Linked DNA regions of Styela clava. The protein of the gene in region 1 binds, or shares a complex with, the protein of each later gene. Links are inferred from orthologs where the notes say so. Each region holds a gene or a part of one and is shown on either strand. Other genes may lie near its edges.

Region 1 (2,831 bases):
TCGTCCCTCTGCATTTTATAGGATTTTTAGGAAATATCAGTCAAACCCACAAAGTGTGAATAGTATAGCTATGCAGAGAGTTTTTTACATTTGCTTTATAGCTTATTCTAATTGTTAAATATATGGAAGAAAATAGTGTTAATGTTGAATTTACACTCCTGCAATTGCACAATGCTTGCACTCTTTCTTGAGCAATGCCAACCCACAGGCAAAATTGGAACTTTTATTTGGGTGCTGATGTAAATATTCTTAAACCATGCATTTTAGAAACTTCCTCCTTTAGGGCATTTGTCACAAGCTTGTGTGCAGCAACAGTTCGAATTTTTGAAAAATCTTCCGATTCAATGTGAATTTCGTACATACTTCCACAACCACCTGAAATATCTTCTACATCAATTTTCACAGCATTAGGGAATCGAGTTTGCAAAATGTTAGTTATTTTTATCTCCCCTGTGTTCCCTTCTGCCGTGGATGTAGAAAATGGTTGGCATATCCGTGCAGAGTGAAGTGCTGGTGCTGGTATAGAATTCTTACAAATTACTGACGTATTGGATGATTTACTATAGTTAACAAAAGTTTGGAGGAGTTTAACGGTACAAATTCTATTCGGCAACGACATAATTTAGTCAAAATTCTGAAACAAAAGCAAATACACAAGGTCATTATCATGTAGCTAATAAGTATGAACCCACAAAAAGCATTTTTCAGTTAGGTAAATCTTCCATAAACCATACAATCCAATGGAAAATTTCATGAATATGGTCAACCACACAAGAAAATTTTAAATATCAAATACTTTGAGATAGTTTTAACCTTGGAAACATATCTACTGATATAACTGACTTTTCAAATAAACAATATGCAATACTTGTATATAAAAATTCATGACATCAGCAGAAAGAAAAATTTTGTTTATGATGCAAATATTAATATGGACAAAGAAAATATCTCAAATATATTATCAAAGAAAACTTCTAAAATCAGTTTATTCATGTTTTGGAGGAGAACTAAGGTTGTCTGTATTCCTATGTTTCGGAAAGGCTTCCCATGGACTGTTAAGATCAAATTTTCTAAATTCTTGTGCAAGCTCAACAGGATCACGAACAACTCTGACAGCTTCATCATCCCATCGAACCTCGTGGTAACCAGACAAAGGAAAATCTTTACGAAGTGGGTGGCCATCAAATCCATAATCAGTGAGAATCCTACGAAGATCTGGATGGTTACGGAATAATATACCATACATATCCCAAGCTTCTCTTTCATACCAATTGGCAGCACGATACACACTACAAACAGAATCAACCGGTGTTAACTCGTCTGTGTAAGTTTTCACTCGAATACGTTGGTTGTATCGCAGAGAGAGTAGATTGTACACAATCTCAAATCGATAGACTCTTGTTGGTATATCATTTCCACACAAATCAGCCAAGGACTCAAATTGACATAAAGTGTTATTTTTCAGGAAGCTCATTGTAGTAAGTATTCCATCAGGATGTACCATGACCTCGAGCTCATTTGTATGAGTAAGCTGGACTTGTTGAATATACTTCGGTAAACAATTGGCAACATAATCACCGAATTCCATCAGCTGATTCCATGCAACTTCCCTTGACATTTTAATTTCAGGTAAATTGTCGGTGGGAGGTGTGACACCATCTTCATTTGTCTGTAGATGACTGGAGCTTGCGATACACCTTGACAGACCCTTCGAAGACACGATTGGCGCTAAATTTGAATGAACATTAGTTGTAACTAAGCGTGAAATGCCTCGAAATAAAAAGGCCATTCTGGAAATGATAATAAAATTCATTAAGATGGCTGATTTTGCACTACGATCTTCATATAATACAGTAGAATAAATAGTGGTTCTTGTACTGGCAGACTGGTAGCGACATTCAAATGGAAGGATATAATACCGGTATGTTATATGTCTGTATGTTGATGCATCTATAAATGTGCAATGAACTCAAGTTGTCAAGGACCAACCTGCTGGCAGCACTGGCACCATTAATGACAAGTCATGCCTCAATTCCCGTTTGGGGAGAGTCAGAGTTAACCAATACCGGTACCGGTAGCTCTGTACCTGCATAGTATGTACTCAGCATATCAACACATTACCGTTATGCTGTTAAATTTATCCAAAACATAATATAGAATTGAGGGACTACAAAACCGTTCTCGCGCTGTTCAAGAAACTCCGACTTATGGCTGTATAAATTCTGTTTTGCACCAGCCCATATGAGTCTCATATGGGGTGGTATGAGTGGGATATGACCAGATAATTACAATGTTAAATTAAATAAAGTAAAATTCAACTAAAAAATGAGGTACGGTACCGTACATTACTACTAGTCGGCCAATATATATTTAGAATAATTTCACACTGCAACATAACTTGAGCAGGTACTGGCATTAGTGGTGCTGCTTCGGGGGTTCGGTTTAAGGTCAAACCACTGAACCGTACCGGTACTGAAATACACTTTTCGAATGTATGTCCTACCGATACCGTATGTGCCGCTTTCTTGTTGGTGCAGTGTCTGGAAGAATACATGTCGCTATACAAAAATTAAGAAGCTCATGATACTCTTTTATGACTTATGACAATGTTAAATTAAATAAAGAAAAATTCAACTAAAAAATGAGGTACGGTACCGTACATTACTACTAGTCGGCCAATATCTATTTAGAATAATTTCACACCGCAACATAACTTGAGCAGATACTGGCATTAGTGGTGCTGCTTCGGGGGTTCGGTTTAAGGTCAAACCACTGAACCGTACCGGTACTGAAATGCACTTTTCGAATGTATGTCCTACCGATACCGTATG
Region 2 (3,718 bases), on another chromosome or scaffold:
GTATTTGATGCTAAATATCAGCCAAGATTTTTTTTTCTTTTGGATGTTTTCCTGTCATCAACACATTTGCCTGCATATTTGGTTGCAGCATTTGCTAAAAGACTTTCACGATTGACGTTAGTTGCACCAACCTGCGCGCAAGAATTATTGGTAAATTTTATTCAGACTTTAATTGACAGACACCCTTCTATAAAAATTCTCATAAACCAAAATACCAAAGCCTTACAAAAGAAAGCTTTAGCTGGCGATCCATACTTGGAAGCAGAAGTTGATCCTGCAAAATGCAAAGCGATGGAAAGCTTTTTATGGGAATTGACAGCTCTTTCGAAACATTGTTCATCTTCGGTAAGCGCTGCGATAAAAAACATTGACAAGGGACCAAAGCAGGACATTACAGACTTGCTTGAAAATACTTATGAAGAAATGTTTGATACACTTTGCGAGAAGGAAATTGTAGACGCTCCTATGAATTACAGAGCGCCAAAAACATTGTTTGGTGGATTTGATGATGCTGTAATGGAACTATGGTCAGTTTAGAAAATAGGACTATGCAATATCTTCTTAAACCTAATTCCCATATCCCTTGTGCATGAAATAAATATTCTCACAGCTCATTAGGTGGATGTTGTAATCAGAAGAACACAATAAAAATAAATTATAATATATTCAAAAATATTCATGGCCAGTCCCATTGTCCAGGTGGTGCTTCTCCAACCAATGTCTCCCATGGTCGACATTCTGCCATTTCCCTGGCAAGATGATGTTCATTCTTGGCCTGAATTATGAGTTCTTCAATTTGTCCATTTCCAATATGCTCTTCTACCAGTGCCATATCTGTGTACTGTAAAATGATAGAGAGAAAATGGCATGTAGACATCATGGATAAATGAGAGTCTGTTGATATTGTGATAAGGAATTTAACTGATAGTCCTGCCCAAGTGTGCATGATCTTCGTCTTTTTAATTTCCAACAAAATGATTAGACGAAATTAAATATAAATCAAGAGTCTTTCACTGTGTCAATGAGAGCTATAAGAGCAGGGATAGGCAAGGTTTTCTGGACCAGGGCGAAAAATTTTGCACAGGCCATGTAAGTGTGAAAAGTTACATTTTATGAACAATATTTACAGTGTTAGAAAAGCAAAAGTGGAAAACAATAGGCCACATGTCAAAACTAAATTTATTCGCAATCTCAACAAACTTGAGCTATTTTTAGTATACTTCAAAATTTGGTTTTAGTTTGGTTGTGGCAGCATCAGACGGGCCAGATAAAATTACACAACTGGCCGGATTTGCCCATTTTCTGGTAAGCTGTTTTGATAACACATTAAGAGTAATGACTAGCATTCAGAACTAATCACCAATGCACAACTTTGAATGTTTGGTGGAATCTTGTGAGAGTAACAGAAGTTTGCTTGGTTTCTTGCTGCAAAGGGCCTAGATTTGGCAATGAAATATTCCTACATACTTCACCATTATTAGTTCATAGTGTTTGGGTGGCCATGAGACCAAAAATCACAACAATGCTTGGAATTATCATATTCTTGTGTTACCTATACAGTTGGTCTCATAGCTATTATTAAGATTGAAAGGGAAATTAATTCAAACTCATTTAAATTGTTGTAGATGAATTTAAAATATTGAAGACGAAAAAGGTGGCCACCTCTCAGTTAAATATATATTATATGGATCAGTCTGATATAAGATATGAGACAAAAATTAATTAATTTCCTAAATTTTTGACCTCTAATTACTGTTCTAGTTTTTCCAGTCATATTATTTTACCTCTCAAATGCTTGAAAGATAAAAATAGCAGTAGTATTTACCTTGTTGAGAATAGTTTGTCGGTGCTTGGTTACAGCCTCTGTTTTCTGCCGATATTCTGCAGTTTGTGGCATATTCCCCACTATTTCAAGTGTTCTCTTGTAAAGCAATGCTAATTTCTGTTTGCCATTTGCTTCCACGGCTAATCCCACTAACCCTGTTGTCTGAACAAAAATGCATTAACAGTATAGTTCGAAACGATGCCACCAAATTCATTTCTACGTGGATGAAACATTTTTGATATGAGATTAAAAGCTTAGATCACCAGTCATGATAGCTACCGGTACCGTACTGTACACTATTGCACTACCGTATGTTACACAGATACAAGGCATTTGATTGCTAAAAAAAAAATCTCGTAATATACACTCGCCAGACTACTCAAATTAGCAAGTGCAGTTTCAATTATTTTGTGGCGCCTAGAGCTGCCGCAAAACCATGGTGGGATTCCCAAATCATGATTAGGATCAACGTATGTAAAAATGTTTGTTAAATGCCAATTAGAAGTACTTACGGCCGTTTAGTGAACGTGCGCCCAAATTAGAATTTATAATCTCCGAATTTGGTGATTCGGAGGATTCGTCTAGTGAATTCAGGAATTGTTGTTTAATAGTCAACTTGTTGGATGTTTTACTGACAACATTTGTTTGTGTACGGCAAAGGTGCCCACGATACAGTGATAAGGTACTGTGATATGATATGGAAGCACAGATTACAAGTATTCTTTTCAGTTTTGCAGTTTGATTCAGTTTTGTACCTATACTGCTACCGGTACCGCCAGAATACAGTATTCTGATAACAGTTAGCAGGTTAGTACCGGTACTGCAGTAAATAGCATATATGTTGTATGGTGAAAAATCTTACCAGCTTGGACGCCATCTTAGACCTTCCTATCAGCTCACAGATTACAAACAATGCCGAAGATCTCCCAGAAGGCAGAAACCGCTTGCAAGTCTCGAAATTTAGCTGCCAAAATCACAAACCCGTTGCAGCAATAAAACCGGAGAATGTTGGCCCGGAGTCAGTTATCGGAACTCCGAGTCCGAATCCAATATTGAAATGATATTGTGACGAACCTTGTTTTAACTGTTAAATGATGTCATATTCTTACTGTATTTTGTATTTTCAACACTGAGGACGCTGTGACACTGTCGATCTGTCTTTGAAATCATGTTACCGTGTGCTGTGGTGTGATGTGGTTGGTACCGGTACAGTGTGGTTGGTTTTCGGTTGGATTCTGGTCATGAGTGTCTGTGGGAGTGCCTCTGGTCTCCGGTGGGTTATCATGGATGTCTGTTTGTGGTTTTGTGACTGCGGGATGGGGATTTGTTGGATGTTTTTATGCTAGACCAGCGTTTCCCAAACTGTGTTCCGCGAGCATCTTCCAAGTGTTCCGCGGAGAGGGGACCAAAATTACGACTTAATTGGTCGCTAAGGCTATCTCGGGATCGTGAAGTTGTCGCCCAACCTGCGATCGTTCAATATCGCGTCACGGTCGGCCTAAAGCGGACAAAAGCAAAAGGTCTTCATTTTTGAGCTCTGCCTGGTTTTTTATTTAAAATGCTGAAAAAAATCACTCATGTTCGCTAAACTCGATTCAGCAAATAAACAAACTGCAGCTCGCAAAATTGCAGCAAGTACTTCTAACTGCATTGTTAGGTAACATTAGAGGCAAACACTACGTAATAGAAAGTAAACGACAAAAAAAGGTAAAATGAATTATTGATCAATATACACAGCATTTAAAATAGGGAGCAATAAACATTTATAATAAATGCAATATGCAAAATATTCAATCATATTTTAGTTATGTTGAACACAATTCTGTTAGTTTTCGCGGCGCATTTTGCAACACGCTACAGCGCACTAGTATCATACCCTTTTGGGGCCGCTGC

Evidence for each region. The genes of interacting proteins can lie anywhere in the genome.
Region 2: the proteins of NADH dehydrogenase [ubiquinone] iron-sulfur protein 3, mitochondrial-like (region 1) and NADH dehydrogenase [ubiquinone] 1 alpha subcomplex subunit 5-like are in contact, whole or in part, in a cryo-EM structure (PDB 8ESW), measured with the Drosophila melanogaster proteins. The link is inferred for Styela clava from reciprocal best matches to the Drosophila melanogaster genes ND-30 and ND-13B. Residues at the interface, in NP_647775.1 of Drosophila melanogaster: Tyr66, Glu69, Cys70, Leu71, Pro72, Lys73, Tyr74, Val75, Gln76, Lys77, Leu89, Ile90, Ala91, Pro92, Glu93, Val96, Pro97, Gln100, Phe101, Asp104, His105, His106, Gln107, Gln109, Val119, Val121, Cys123, Arg124, Asn126, Glu129; in NP_648409.1 of Drosophila melanogaster: Tyr28, Ser43, Tyr44, Tyr47, Thr48, Leu51, Arg55, Cys74, Gly75, Glu79, Gln83, Ala84, Asn86, Glu87, Ile89, Leu90, Lys93, Met94, Trp97, Lys98, Pro99, Trp100, Glu101, Lys102, Leu103, Val104, Gln105, Ala106, Ala107, Pro108.

Annotation. Positions count from the first base shown.
Region 1 is NC_135254.1:12,649,819-12,652,649, forward strand, and holds NADH dehydrogenase [ubiquinone] iron-sulfur protein 3, mitochondrial-like, read right to left. Parts: upstream 1,815-2,831; 5' UTR 1,814-1,814; coding exon 986-1,813; 3' UTR 633-985; downstream 1-632. UniProt on the Drosophila melanogaster protein: Core subunit of the mitochondrial membrane respiratory chain NADH dehydrogenase (Complex I) that is believed to belong to the minimal assembly required for catalysis. Complex I functions in the transfer of electrons from NADH to the respiratory chain.
Region 2 is NC_135250.1:11,173,784-11,177,501, reverse strand, and holds NADH dehydrogenase [ubiquinone] 1 alpha subcomplex subunit 5-like, read right to left. Parts: upstream 2,848-3,718; 5' UTR 2,703-2,847; coding exon 2,688-2,702; intron 1,988-2,687; coding exon 1,826-1,987; intron 1,009-1,825; exon of another isoform or gene 842-1,008; coding exon 677-841; 3' UTR 612-676; downstream 1-611. Other genes in the region: nucleolar complex protein 4 homolog, read left to right, coding at 1-537.